Linked DNA regions of Callithrix jacchus. The protein of the gene in region 2 binds, or shares a complex with, the protein of the main gene of each other region. Links are inferred from orthologs where the notes say so. Each region holds a gene or a part of one and is shown on either strand. Other genes may lie near its edges.

What was found. The genes of interacting proteins can lie anywhere in the genome.
Region 1: CNOT10 (region 2) and CNOT6L share a complex: the UniProt entries of both Homo sapiens proteins name them as parts of the CCR4-NOT complex. The link is inferred for Callithrix jacchus from reciprocal best matches to the Homo sapiens genes CNOT10 and CNOT6L.
Region 3: CNOT10 (region 2) and CNOT6 share a complex: the UniProt entries of both Homo sapiens proteins name them as parts of the CCR4-NOT complex. The link is inferred for Callithrix jacchus from reciprocal best matches to the Homo sapiens genes CNOT10 and CNOT6.

The regions. Positions count from the first base shown.
Region 1 is NC_133504.1:120,306,541-120,311,726, reverse strand, and holds part of CNOT6L (CCR4-NOT transcription complex subunit 6-like), read right to left. Parts: intron 1,422-5,186; coding exon 1,209-1,421; 3' UTR 1-1,208. UniProt on the Homo sapiens protein: Has 3'-5' poly(A) exoribonuclease activity for synthetic poly(A) RNA substrate.
Region 2 is NC_133518.1:70,903,992-70,909,177, forward strand, and holds part of CNOT10 (CCR4-NOT transcription complex subunit 10), read left to right. Parts: intron 1-1,952; coding exon 1,953-2,102; intron 2,103-3,619; coding exon of another isoform or gene 3,620-3,754; intron 3,755-3,872; coding exon 3,873-4,075; intron 4,076-5,186. Other genes in the region: small ribosomal subunit protein uS19-like, read right to left, coding at 3,620-3,754. UniProt on the Homo sapiens protein: Component of the CCR4-NOT complex which is one of the major cellular mRNA deadenylases and is linked to various cellular processes including bulk mRNA degradation, miRNA-mediated repression, translational repression during translational initiation and general transcription regulation.
Region 3 is NC_133503.1:72,314,947-72,320,132, forward strand, and holds part of CNOT6 (CCR4-NOT transcription complex subunit 6), read left to right. Parts: intron 1-1,044; coding exon 1,045-1,247; intron 1,248-3,919; coding exon 3,920-4,132; 3' UTR 4,133-5,186. UniProt on the Homo sapiens protein: Poly(A) nuclease with 3'-5' RNase activity.

The DNA of each region.
Region 1 (5,186 bases), on a different chromosome or scaffold from region 2:
TTGGGAATAAACCAGTAGCTTCTTAATTCAACCCTGACAGACAACAGAAACAAAGATTAAAAGCATATGATGGTCATTTGGCAGCTAGAGTCTGGAAAATGACCCAAGGCTTTCATCTGCCCCAAATTTGCTCTCTCTCCCCCAAATCCTTTGCACTGTCATCTCAAAAAACCAACAGCCACATAACCTACATTGGAAACACATAAAGTATCTGTATGGTTTTCCCCATCTGAAACTTTGATCAAGGCCTTTTTATTCAGCAGATTTTTTTCTTCTTTTTAACGTCTGGCTATAATGGCAAAAATGATACAGGTCATATAACATGTTTTTCCAGTACAACCATACAGAAAGAAAAGAAGGTTGAAGTGGAGTAAGAAAAAATTCATTCTGTGGGCGTCCTAAATGTACCGCATTCTATTTTCAAGATGTGTGGCAATATAGAATACTTACCCTTTCTCTATAAATAAACTTGAGAGACAGGCTTAGAATTAATACTTCTAATAAGGTTGTAACTAATAGAGGGGACAAAAAACCAAAAGTGATTCCTTACAAAAAACCCCAACCAACCAGCATTTGGCAACAAATTGTCACGTGGTGTTACATACTTATGAAAGCATACTGTGCAACCATCTTTAATATTTCAAATTTTCTTATAATGCATAGAAGCTATATAATAGTTATGCAGAGAGTAAGCAAATTTAAGTGCTCTGTTAATGTGCAAATGACTTGGGAATCCAAAAATCAGTTTGTTATAAAGGAAAAATTCAAGAAGGTTTTCCCTGGAAGGCATATCATCATTCAGTTTAAAACCTTATATTTATAGTTTTAAAAAATTGCCTTTATAAAAATGGTTGGCTCACTGAAACCATCCAAAAGAAAGTATTTGTTTTGGAAAAACATACACTGTTGTTGGGACTCAAATTGGTAATTTATCAATTCTGAATGCTGGCTCTTAATACAATATAAAGAAGGTCCAATTTAAAAACATGTTAAATTAAAATTTTGGAAAGAGAGTAATACTTTGGTTCCAGCCCTACTGCCAAATGATACCAACATGCACAAAAATGTACAAAGTCTTACAGCAAACACATAATGAAAGAAACCTGAAGAAGCAGCTTAAGGATGGCCATACTTCACTCCATATACTTTGATTTACAACTGTACAGGTCCATAGCAACAGATCCCCGTCTTGGCGGGGCAGTACTCCACTACCTCCGATTAGGCAAGTGAACACCATTGACAAGAGGCAGGAGTGGAGGGTGGAGTTCAAGTTGTGTTAACAGTGAGAAGTGGTCTGAAGGGATGTGAGGGTGTGGACACCCAGTGATGTTGTTCTCAACCAGCCATTGAGGATCTAAAGGCCCCAGGACACCAAGCACGTTCATATGAGTCTTGGAATAGAAAATGTAGTCAATCACGCCCTGGAAAGAGATTGGGGTAGGAAAAAAAAAAAAAAGACAAATTCAAAATGTTTATAACAATCCATAATTTATAAAAACCAAAAAACTGAATACCCTTTCTTCTGGTACCTGTTGTCTTGACAGTGGGTCAAATAAGGCTCAAATCTTCAAGGGGTATTTCATGAAATAAAGGTGGCTCAATAGGAAAACAACACCCTATTGGAATCATAAATCCTTCCAATCCTGCATAAGTGATAATTTGAGAAGCTAAACTCATTAAATTATGTCTAGTCATCTTTAGAATTGGCCTGCTTGGTTTAGTGAAATCTAGTATATCAGAATAAATACAATGGAACCTGTACTAATCCTATTGGCTATAAGTAAACAAGAATATTTATATAAGCACATAGTTAATAGCATTATCTTTAATTATTTGCATATCAAGATATCTAAACACACCTGACTGAACCTGTAGTAAACCATGTTTATGGATTTGCTAATTCTAGTTCAGCTTTCCCAGATTTGCTACCTATATACAAAACATTACACAGTTAACTATTCTAAGTTTAAAATACTCATTTTCACAAATATGTGTAAATTCTGGATTTCCTTGCAGCATAAGGATAACTGATCAAAAATCATTCAGCAGGAAGCCTTACACAGCAGTTTTCTCTCTGAGCTAGATAATTTGATCAGTAAGTTTCAAAACCAGAGGGCTATGATTGTCCCAGATTGTGAATGCATGGTAGCAAAATCAAATTATCTTCCTATCTAGTTCCTATTCATATCAAGAGAACCTGAGACCAAGTAGGGAGAAACATTTCTACACCTGTAAAAACCTATTTACAAATACTATTGATGATTTCCAGCCAATACTTTAAATGGTATTATAATGAAATGAGCTACTTAAAAAATAAAAATTTTCAATGAAAACAAATTTTTATGTTGTGAGATTTTAGACACAATTATTTCAATTTATTGATTGATTTTTATTTGACCAATATCAAAATACCAAAACTGTTCCTTTGCTAAGGGAGAAGATTCAGGTACAGTGTCTCATGCCTGTAATCCTAGCCATTTGGAAGGCTGAGGTGGGAGGATGACTTAAGCCCAGGAGTTTGAGACCAGCGTGGTAAACATAATGAGACCCCGGTTTTTACAGAAATATTAAAAATTACCTAGCCATGGTGGCATGCATCTATAGTCCAAGCTACTTGGGAAGCTGAGGCAGGAGGCTCACTTGAGGCCAGAAGTTCTAGGCTACATTGACTTATAACTGTGCCACTGCTTTCCAGCCTCTGGGTGACAAGATTCTGTCTCTTAAAAAAAAAGAAAGCAGCCCTTATCCAACCTTACTTTGCCACAAATTAAGGAATTTACTGGAGTCCAGGGGACTCCAAGCTCAAATAGTCAAAAAATGATAGGATCATAAGGCCTTATCTTTTCATTTTGGTTATAATGCCTAGTTTTACAGTGATATTTTAGAAAATGAGTTAATGAGGATCAGGGTAGTTTTATTTCTCCCTGAGAAACTTTTTTTCAAACAACTTTTTGCTTAAACTCTAAAATAAAACAAATGAAATAATCTCAATTACTTAATGGTGAATAAAACCTCCTGTAAGGCCAGGCACAGTGGCTTATGCCTATAATCACAACATTTTGGGAGGCCAGGAGGATCACTTGAGGCCAGGAGTTCATTACCATCCTGGTCAACATGGTGAAACTCCATCTCTACTAAAAATACAAAAATTAGCTGAGTGTGGGGTGTACACCTGTAGTCCCAGCTCCTAGAGAGGCCAAGGCACAAGAACAGCTTGAACCTGGGAGGTGGATTTTGCAGTGAACTGAGATTGTGCCACCGCACTCCAGCCTGGGCAACAGAGTGAGACTCTGTCTAAACAAAACAAAATAAATCCTCCTTTATCTTACAACTTTATTAGACTGCCATCACACACATCAGCTGCTAGAGTTCTTTGCAAAAGTAGGCTCCAAGATAAAAATGTTAAACACTCCAGGAAGTAAGATGTTTTTAATTGAACATATCACTTGTAACTATTTTCTTGGTTTGAAATACCCAGAGTAAAAACTCTTACCAAAACCCTTAGCCAGGTTACTTCTGTGAATTCACCCAACATATTTGTACATATGCATATATAAGGATCCCCAACTTTGATCATATATGCACAAAGGAGGTTACAGACTAACGATTTTTAACATTTTGAGTCAGTTTCTTTTTTAAAAGCCACAATACTAATGTGGGAAAATGCACTCTTTACATTAGTAAGGACTACTATTTGTGTAAGTTTATAGAACTATATTTGAGAAAAAAGTCAAAACACAATGAAAATACTGTTACCATTACGCTCTTTGTTTTTTAAAAGAATGCCAGAAAATTACAGTATCAATTTCATAATGTAACAGAAAAGTTTACTATTTGCTATAAAAGCTGCCCTTCCTTTTTTAAATTAAATGATTTGGGCACACCCTCAGATTAGAGGATAAGGGTGGGGTGAGGAGCAGCAGCAGTAGGTTTAAATTAAGCTGTTTATTAAACTTACCTGGTCTCAAAGTAATGTTGAAAAAGGAGTAATTCTTCGAATTGTTTACCCTTCAGTTCATTCGAAATCAGTTTGCAATTAAATGAATCTGAACTCTAAATATCTCTTTTCTACATTTCTATCTTGGTCAAGGACCAAGAAAGTAAACAAATGCTAAGCCAAGCAAACAAAATTTCACACCTCACTGATACAGCGGCCCCTCACTAATACAATTGGTTCTGTATTTAATGCTGATCACATGGCATTTTATATGTGATGTTACTTACTCTTTTTTACTGATTGCTTTCAATATTGGGATAGCATTAATTATGTAAAATATATGTATAAAACTGAAGTTAATTCTGTTACTTGGACTAAGAGCTCAATTCTCTCTACTCAAGGTGTGTCCTTAGTTTAATCTCTAGCTATCCTTTCTTCCTACACTATTCTATCCTCTCATCCCATCCATCTATCCAGCCAGCCTATTGATCTTCCCATATATGCCTCTTTCCCACCAACTTATACCTTTATCTTTCTCTCTGATCCTATCTTATACAACCAAACATCAAACACTCTCTGAGCCAGGCATTTCTAGTTCTTTAACCGTGCTTAGTTGAACAATGTAAGTGGCTCAGTGGGATTTTTGATTCAATTATTACACATGTAAGACCTTTTGAAGGACTGTCAATAAATAATCTTAAACCAATTCAGATGACTGAGGAAGGTGGATTAATGTCCCAAATTGCGTTTCTCTGATTTTTTGTTTAAGGACAAGAAAAAAGTAAGCCTTTAAGAAGTCCAGGCTGAGTACAGTGGCTCACACCTATAATACCAGTACTTTGGGAAGCCGAGGTGGACGAATTGCTTGAGCCCAGGAGTTCAAGACCAGCCTGGGCACCTTGGTGAAACCCTGTTTCTACCAAAAAAAACCAAAAACAACCCTCAAAAGTACAAAAATTAGCCAGGCATGGTGGTGCACACTTGTAGTCCCAGCTACTCAGGAGGCTGAGGTGGCAGGATCACTTGAGCCCAGGAGAGTGAAGCTGCAGTAAGTCAGGACTGTGCCACTCTGGGAGACAGAGCAAGACTCTGTCTCGAAAAAACAAAGTCTAGGCTGGTCGCAGTGGCTCACACCTGTAATTGCAACACTTTGGGAGGTCGAGGCAGGCAGATGGCTTGAATCCAGGAGTTCAAGACCAGCATAGGCAACATGGCCAAACCCTGTCTCTATTAAAAATACAAAAAATTA
Region 2 (5,186 bases):
TTCCTTTCCTTTCTCTTTCTCTTCTTTTTCTTTTTGAAACAGGATCTTGCTTTGTCACCCAGGCTGGATGCAGTGCTACAATCACAGCTCACTCAGCTCACTACCTCCTGGGCTCAAGCGATTCAATCGCCTCAGCTTCCCAGGTAGCTGGGACTGTAAGAATGTACCACCATGCCTGGCTTATTTATTGTAGAAACAAGGTCTCACTATGTTGCCAGGCTGGTCTCAAACTTTTGGGCTCAAGTGATCTGATGACCTCTGTCTCCCAAAGTGATGGGATTACAAGCGTGCCACTGTGCCTGACCCAGATATCTTTTCTTTAACCCAACTTGCTCTTTTTTTTTTTTTTCTCGAGACAGTCTTGCTCTGTTGCCCAAGGTGGAGTGCAGTGGCACGATCCTGGCTCACTACAACTTGCACCTCCCGGGTTCAAGTGATTATCCACCTCAGCCTCCTAAGTAGCTGGGACTACAGGCATGTACCACCACACTCAGCTGATTTTTCTGTTTTTTTGGTACAGTCTGGGTTTCATCATGTTGGCCAGGCCAGTCTCAAACTCCTCACCTCAAGTCATCTGCCCACCTCAGTGTCTTAAAGTGCTGGGATTACAGGTATGAGCCACTGCACCTGGCTCTTTCATTTGTTTTTATAAGGTCCTTGGACTTTTGCTTTGTGACCTTTTAAGTAAATAATATAATGTTCTTAACTTTTTTCTGCCATAAAGGCAGTTAATAATACGATTTTTTTCAGTAACTTGCCCAATGAATAGGACTTCTTTAGATCATTAACTATATCAAAAAATCTTTCTATAAAGCTATGAAGATAAGTGTTATTACATATTCTTACCTCTATTTAGAAAGTCTTACAAATCCCTTAATATTAATGGTAACATGAAAGTAAAAATTGTGAATGTCATTTAGGTTTATATCATTACTATTTTATGGAGCAGGAGAAGGAAAATCATTTATTCAAGAAATGAGGATAAACTATTGAAAATGTATGTTTTGTCTCAAGTTTAAAATGCAAACTACATGGTTTTTGGTTTGTTTTGGATTCTATTTAGATACACACACGAGTATACCTGCAAACACACTCAGACCTTCCCCCATTTACCCTTTCAGTTCACTGGAGTGATGGAGGATGGAGAAGGGCACTTTGTTCCTTATAATTCTATTGAGGGTATTCTTTCTTTTCTAAATACCCATTTCTAATTCTGCTCAATTTTAGTTTTTTGTTTTCATTGTTGTAGTTTCTCCTCACAGTCCACTTGGCCGAGCTAGTCTCAAACTCTTGACCTCAAGTGATTCACCCGCCTGGGCCTCCCAAAGTGCTGGTATTACAGGCATGAGCCACAGTGCCCGGCCTCACTCCGTCCTTTTCTGTATATTCTTGCTATTCATTTAATATACTTTGGCAGTTTCCACATATACTTGCTTCCTTGTTTCTAATTTCTACGTAATATTTCATTGGTAGATACAATGCATAAACATTACTGAGAAATATTTTTTGTTTTTGCATTTTTGTATCATTTGTCTACAGTTATTAAAAATTAGCTGGGCATGGTAGCACATGCCTGTAATCCCAGAACTTTGGGAAGTGAAGGCAGAAGGATTGTTTGAGCCCAGGAGTTCAAGACCAGGCTAGGAAATATAGTAAGACCCTGTCTGTTTAAAAAATTATTTTTAAAAAGGAAAAAATATAGAACAAAATTAGGCTAACAAAATAGGATTGGTTTTTAAAAATAATTTTTCTCACCTTTAATAAAAGAGATTTTAAAAGGAGTTTTTAAATTTTTCAGATGTTTCCTAAATTTCAAATGCCTTGTCAACCGTTCTTTAGGTAGTAAGTGGAATGGTAACAGGGTTAACCCAACAAAGATAAGCCCAATTCTTGTCTGAGGAACATCAACATTAAAATATTTCTGTGGACACATTTTGTTGTGTTTTTCTCAGGTGAATGCTTGAGATGCATGTTCTGGAACAACCTTGGGTGCATCCATTTTGCCATGAGCAAGCACAATTTGGGATTATTCTACTTTAAAAAGGCTCTGCAGGAGAATGACAATGTCTGTGCACAGCTGAGTGCAGGCAGCACTGATGCAGGTAAGCCCAGTACTGGGGGACAGTTTGTATTTATTACTTCAGAAAAGCGTGATTTAAAAAGCATGAATGTGGTACAAGTACCCACCTTGTAGACTTATAAACAGTTAACTCTGATCTTACCCAACAAGCTTGGCTCTGGGGATTTTTAGTAGATATTGCTGCTTTGAATAGCAATTACAAGGTGTTAAGAGTAATTCTGAATTATCTAGAGATTTAAGTTGCATTCCATTTTTCATGAATTTGAAAATGACTGATTCCCTGTGGTAATATTATATACCAGAATGTTTGATTAGTCACAACATGGCTGTGCCAAACTAGGTTTATTTTATATATATATATATTAAAATATATATAATATACATATATAATAAAAATATATATAATAAAATATATATATAAATATATATATATATTTTTTTTTTTGAGACAGAGTCTAGCTCTGTCACCCAGGCTGGAGTGCAGTGGTGCAATTTCAGCTCATTTTAACTTCTGCCTTCTGGGCTCAAGTGTCCCTCCCACCGCAGCCTCCTGAGTAGCTGGGACTATAGATATGTGCCACTGCACCTGGCTAATTTTTGTGTTTTTTGTAAAGACAGGGTTTTGCATGTTACCTAGGCTGGTCTGGAACTCCTGGGCTCAAGGGATCCTCCTACCTCCGCCTTCCAAAGTGCGGGAATTACAGGTGTGAGCCACTGTGCCCAGTTTATTATAGATTCTTTGCAGAGTTTTGCATGTGATACTGTTGGTTAGCATCTGACAGTCTTTAAGCAAATTCTTAATGTTTATCCTTTAATATTCATTATCATGGGGATCCTTGATCCGAAATGCCTAATATCAAGCAATTATTTAGCTTTTAAAAATAACCTATTTAATGACAAAGGTATTCTAAATCAAAATAGACTGTAACACTGAATAAATAGGTGATAACACATGATAATAAAATTGTTAACCAAAATGAAGGAAAAAAAATTTTTTTTTGAGACCAAGTCTCATTGTGTTGCCCAAGCTGGAGTGCAGTGGCACGATCTTGGCTCACTGTAGCTTCTACCTCCTGGGTTCAAGTGATTCTCCTGCCTCAGCCTCCTGAGGATCTGGGACTACAGGCATGTGCCACCATGCCCACTTAATTTTTGTATTTTTAGTAGAGATTTGGTTCACTATGTTGGCCAGGCTGGTCTTGAACTTCTGACCTTGTAATCTGCCCACCTCGGCCTCCCAAAGTTCTGGGTTTGCAGGCATGAGCCACCATTCCCTGCCGAAAATTTTAAAAAGTGGAAACTTCTTACAGACTCTAAATATGTTAGCTGGGAGAGATGGCTTATGCCTGTAATCCCAATATTTAGGGGAGGCCAAAGTGGATCACTTGAGTCCAGGAGTTCAAGACTAGCCTGAGCGACATACAGAGACCCCATTGCTACAAAAATAAAAGTAAAAATTAAACAATAAAAGAGAATAAAGTAAAAATGTAGAAAAGCAGTATAAGATTCAAAGGAGTGAGAGTGGGTCCTATCTCTTACCTTTGCCTTCCTGGAGCATTGTTACCTGAGTAGCTGGTGAATAAGAAGAGACATCTCTGGCTCTGCCAGCATAAATAACTGAGATGACTGGAAAATATTTGTGGGGTTGAGGATGGAATCCACCATTGGTAACAGCTATAATCAGATTAGGATTATTGGTGTCAAACATGGTAGTGTCTAAGTACTTAATGGAATGAATGTTTTCAAGGTAACTGTTACTAATGATTTATTCTTATCTAATTTTTATCACTAGGCAAAAAATTTTCAGGAAGACCCATGTGTACATTACTAACCAATAAGAGATATGAGCTGCTGTATAACTGTGGAATTCAGCTTCTTCACATTGGAAGGCCTCTTGCTGCCTTCGAATGCCTGATTGAAGCTGTTCAGGTTTATCATGCAAATCCTCGCCTCTGGCTACGGCTGGCTGAATGCTGCATTGCTGCCAATAAGGGGGTGAGTGCTGCTTGGTATCTTTTTGGACCCTATCTTACCTCCACTTACTACGTGGAATGTAAAAAAAAAGAAACTTTGAAACATACATAAGACATCATTCTCTTTTATTTATTTATTTGTATTTTATTTATTTCTTTTTGAGATGGAGTTTCTCTTGTTGCCTAGGCTGGAGTGCAATAGCGCAATCTTGGCTCACTGGAACCTCCGCCTCCCAGGTTCAAGCGATTCGCCTACCTCACTCAGCCTCCCAAATAGCTGGGACTACAGGCATGTGTCACCATGCCTGGCTAATTTTGTATTTTTAGTAGAGACAGGGTTTCACCATGTTCCCCAGGCTGGTTTTAAACTCAGATGATCCACCTACCTTGGCCTCCACTTTCCACTCTCAAAGTGCTGGGATTACAGGTGTGAGCCACAGCACCTGGCCATCATCATTCTCTTTTTAACTATCATTGAATATATAGATGGTCTTCTTTAACCACTGGGAAAAAAATTTAGTTTCAAAAACTCGTTCGTTGGCTGGGCACAATGACTCACGCCTGTAATACAAGTACTTTGGGGGGCCAAGGTGAGTAGATCACTTGAGCTCAGGAGTTCAAGACCAATCTAGGCAACATAGTGAGACCGAGACTTCCATCTCTACAAAAAATTATCTTGGTGTGGCGGTGAGTGCCTGTAGTCCCAGCTAATCAAGAGGCTGAAGTGGGAAGATAGTTTGAGCCCAGGAGGTATAGGTTGAAACTAGACCAGATAGAGCCACTGCACTCCACCCTGGGCAACAGAGTGAGACAATGTCTCAAAAAAATGAAAATGAAAATTTAAAAAGTCATTTGTTAACATTCTCATTCTTGGTAAGTATGGCAACATTAAAGAGTTGAAGCCAGTCAGAAAGTCATGTATGTTGGAACAGTGGCCTGCTAGCTGCTGCAGGGGTCGGGAGCCATGCCATCTGCTGGCGTAAGAATAGTGTTGTGTAGCCTGCTGATCAGAGGTCACAATGTAGGAAGAACTGCATTAAGCTGAGTTTCCTTCAATGCCTGAGGGTTCTACTTTGGTTTCAGTAAATGATACAGAGTTTATGGATTACCAGGCTATTTCGGACACATGATTG
Region 3 (5,186 bases), on a different chromosome or scaffold from region 2:
CCATGTCTCTACTGAAAATATAAAAAATTAGACATGGTGGTGCACACCTGTAATCCCAGCTTCTTGGGAGGGTGAGGCACAAGAATGACTTGAATCCTGGAAGCAAAAGTTTCAGTGAGCCAAGATTGAGCTACTGCATTCCAACCTGGTTGACAGAGTGAGGCTATCTCAAAAAGAAGGAGGAGGAGGAGAAGAAAGAAACTGAGTTAAAATTTGATTTCAGGGAAAATAAAGCTATCTAAAATCTTCTGTAATTCTTTATTCCAGCTCATCAAGTTAATCCGGTTATTACTACTACTACCACCAAAGCAGTTGAGTAGTAGTCTCTGGCAGTTTGTCTACATGCTTTCTACTTTCTTTGTAGCTACAAAGTATCTGAGGAATAAAGAGAAAATCTAGTCAAACATTAACATGCAAGACCCATTTCAGCATTGTGAAATACAGTATTATAATAGCAGGCAGGTCAGAAAATGTCCAGCCTTGCTAATTGGTGAATAAAATACAAATTAAAATATATTTGTAGAGCCCATCTTGTGCTTAGTAAATTGGGAAAATAATTCACTAGGGATGGGTAAGTTTGCTCTGTGACTAGTTGGTGGTATTCTCTTCCATAGTTGGCAGTATTATAAAGTGGCACATTCAGTCCTAATCTTGGGATTTTATACCAAGTAAATAATTGAGCATAAGCAGAAATCTACACACTAAGATGTTGATTGTGGTATTACCTTTAATTCTTTTTAAAAAGTGGAAACTACCCTGTATTTTACAAAATTAGTAGTAAATATTATCCACCAGCCCAACTGCATTGTGCAGCCATTAAAGAATGATATTTGGGAAGACACATGTTTATAAAGCGAAGTGTAAACTGTTCAATATTCTGTGATTACAATTGTGTAAAAATAGATTTGGACAAGTCCTGGCAAATATAAAAAGTAATGTTTTGGAACCTGGGAATAGTGTGGTTTAAAACTTTTTACTATTACATGATCTTTTAAAATTACTTTTTGTTTATATTTGACAATAAAAAATTTGTCTTCATTGTAGGTGTTGTAGAATATTTGAGCACGGGTGGAGTAGAAACAAATCACAAAGACTTTAAGGAGCTGAGGTATAATGAAAGTCTCACAAACTTCAGCTGTCATGGGAAGAATGGAACCACCAATGGAAGGATCACTCATGGTTTCAAGTTAAAGAGTGCCTACGAGAGTGGTCTGATGCCTTACACGAATTACACATTTGATTTCAAGGTGTGTCTTGAGACTGATAAGTTTTTCAAATCTCTATTTTACTGGCAAGTTTTCTGATGCATTATTATGTTTTTAAAAATGTGGTTGTGTGTTCAGACTGGAATGAAGCAGTCTTGAATTCATTGACAACAATATTGTTTGTTTTATGTTTGAGACAAGGTCTCACTTTGTCAGCCAGGCTGGAGTGCAGTTGCATAATCACGGCATGAAGGCTGAAATGATCCCCTCACCTCGGCCTCCCTAGTAGCTGGGACTATAGGCACACACCACCACGCCTGGCTAATTCTTGTATTTTATGTAGAGATGGAGTCTCACTATGCCCAGGTTGGTCTTGAGCTCCTGGCCTTAAATGATTCTTCCACCTCAGCCTCCCAGAGTTCTGAGATTACAGGCGTGAACCACTGCACTCAGCCAGTAATATTTTTTTATTACTGTTTTTAGAATTTCATGTGATTAGTGTCACAACCTTACTTTGTAGATATTTATTCCAATATTTTCCAGGATAAGAAGTTAGATCAAATAATCTGTAAAATTCCTAAGCTGACTTTTCACCTTTTGGTGACAATTACATTTCTTATATTCTCATTATTAACAGCTAGATATGCTGAACCATGCTATCTAATTTGGGTGGCAGTTGGGGTAAGGTGTTCCTTTTCTTACATTGTAATTTAACTGAAACTAAATTATTTTGAATGTCAAAATGTGGTTATTAGCTGTTTTTAAATGTTTCTAAGATACATCTTTTTTTGCCCCCAGAGACAGTCTTGCTCTGTTGCCCAGCCTGGAGTTCAGTGGCACAATCTTGGCTCACTGCAACCTCCCCCTCCCATATTCCAGTGATTTCTCATGCCTCAGCCTCCTGAGTTGCTGGGATTATGTGTGCACCCCACCACACCCAGCTGATTTTTGTATTTTTAGTAGAGACAGAGTTTCATCATGTTGGGCAGGCTGGTGTCGAACTTCTGGCCTCAAGTGATTTACCCATCTTGGCCTCCCAAAGTGCTGGGATTATAGGCATGAGCCACTGCACCTTGCCAGACTCTAATCATTTTTTTTATTTAGTGCTATGTCACTTTCTTGTGTTTAACTATCCTTTTTTTTTGGCCGGAACGGGGGCTTCTCCATTGTTGCTGTAGATAGGTTTAACTGTCCTTTTTTAAAAAAAAGAGAAAAAGAGATGTCGTTTCAGTCTGTCATCCAGGCTGAAGTACAGTGACATGATCATAACACACTGCAGCCTTGAATTGGGCTGAGGCAATCCTCCTGCCTCAGCCTCCCCACTAACTAGGACTACAGGTGTGTGCCACTGTGCCCAGCTAATTTTTTTTTGTAATTTTGTTTTTTTTTTAAGACAGGGTCCTCCTATATTATCCAGCCTGATCTCGAATCCCTGGCCTTAAGCAATCCTCCTGCCTTAGCCCTCCAAAGGAGGCTAAGATTATAGCCAGGAGCTGGGATTATAGGCAGGAGCTACTGCAACTGGCTCAACTGCCTTTTAAACTACTTTTTGCATTTCTGCTTTCTTAACTCCTAGCTTTCTATTTCTAAGCTGCTGGCAAAGTAATAATTTACATTAGATTGTCAGAGTGTAAATAAGAGTTTTTAGATAGTATCTCTGGAGCTCTTACACTTTAGAGTATAGTAAGTAAAGCCCCTGTTTATCCTCAAGTGCCCCTTCCTTTCAAATTCTTAAGGAGGCATTGAAGAGAAGGCATGGGTGATAGCCAAAGGGTGGGAAAGCTTAGGGTTTTTTTCTCTTTATGTTGCTGATGGAGGCACGAAGAAGACACTTAAATGTGCTTCAGAGTGCATTTGGGCAAGAGCATGTAGAGGAGAGGAGCAGAACCATCAGATGGGAACAGTTTGTTAGATGCCATGCTGGGGTGCTGCTGAGAGAGAAGGGACAGGTAGAGACAGCCCTGCCCTCATGTAGCTGAGATGTGATGAGAGAGACAAGTCTCAAAAATGACACCTTGAGATGGCCATTAGCAAGGGAAGTGAATCAATAGTGAGAAGTAGTAAGTAGGTGGGAGCAGGATTCAGGAAGGTCTTTGGAAAGCAGTTGAACCTGACACTGAAAGATTAAGAAGGAATTAACCTCATAGCAAGTGTTACAGGCAGATTGGAGAGTGACTGAGTGTGTGTGTGTGTGTGTATGTGTGTGTGTGTGTGTGTGTAAGTCCTGAGGCAGGAAAGAGCTTGGTACCTAATATTAAGAAGGAATTGATATCATAACAAGTGTTCCAGGCAGAATGGAGAGAGAGAGAGTGTGTGTGTGTATGTGTGAGTGAGTGAGTGAAGGTCGGGAGGCAGGAAAGAGCTTGGTACCCATAGTTTCCCCTCCCACCCTCACCCCTTTCTCACTCCAAAGGCTAGTGTGGCAGGGAAAGTGGTGCAAATTAGGTTAGGAAAGAGAAGCAGAGGCTACATCCTGAAGGGTCTTAGATCTTGTTAAAGATCCAGGTAGGGAGAATGCTTCATTCTGCTGGATTTGACATTTTGTGGGAGGAACCATTTGGTGTATGTAGTACAGATCTCATCCTACAAGCTAATAAGTTTCACTTGTTTAGTTCTGTTCACCAAACATGACTGTAAAGACATGTCTTGAAAGCACTCAGAATTTTCCTGTTGTCTTATGTGGTGCTTATATCTTTCTTTCTGTTGTTTTTCAGGGTATAATCGACTACATTTTCTATTCTCAACCTCAGCTGAACACCTTAGGCATTCTGGGCCCTCTGGACCACCACTGGCTGGTTGAGAATAACATCAGTGGCTGCCCACACCCCCTCATCCCCTCTGACCACTTCTCACTTTTTGCACAACTGGAGCTCTTACTGCCGTTCCTGCCCCAAGTCAATGGCATCCACCTTCCTGGCAGGAGGTAGTCAAGCACCTTCAGAGGACAGCCTCGATTCACTTGTAAACTTGGGAAAATCTGAACATAGGGGAGTGAGGTATGGCCACTGAGGGTTTTTGTTTGCTTAAGAATGATTTGAATTTTCAATCTGATTATTTGATAAGGATATAGTATGAAAGCCAGGTGCTAGCAACAGACAAATTCTGAGCCCAATATGCTTTATACTGCTAGACAGGGATTGGTGTGTTTGCACCTATCTTTAATTTGTTATAAGAAATTTTCCTATTTCCTCTATCCAATATAATATTTTCATGCCTTGAAATAGGAAAATGTTTGAAGAGCATATTCTCTTTGCACAGAAATCTGTAGCACTACTTTTTTGAGGCCAGTAGTAACATCCAGAGACCATTCTTCCATACTTTACTCCCTCCTTTTTCAGACTTGTTTGTAAAATATAGAATTTGAATTTAGCCTTTATGATTGTATATGATCCACAGAAGACCTGATTTATGAAATTTTGTACTAAAAAAAAAATCATTTGGAAATGATTGTATTGTAAACTAAGGCTAAATTTTTTTTTAAACCTGTTTCATGTGTTATAAAGGCCAGCTTGTAAAAGAAGCTGCAACAGACTTTCTCTGCTCATGATTTGCACTCTTAGGGTTTTGTTAGCCCTTTTGTACTACTTTATTTTTAAATTGAGAACATGGTTCTTTAAATATAAATCTGCTTAAACCTTAGGATGTTTTCAGACCCGAGGCAACTTATTCATGAATTTTTACGAAAACATCTACCAGGACAGATAAGCTGAACAGTGATGATCTGTAGGCATTTATGGACTGAATGTAATGGTTGATATATGTACATTCTGATATTTTTAAGTCTTTAACTTTTTTAAGTTAAAAAACTACAGCTGCTTAGGTACAGCTTAACTCCTTTTTGAGATACTTCCTGTCCTATCTCCACTGTGCCTGCCTAAATTTGTTCTCACCAAGCACTGCCTGTGCATGCAGAGAAAATCTGTGCATCCTCTTTTATATTTTTAAAATACTGTTTAACATTTGTGAGAATTTTATGAAAAT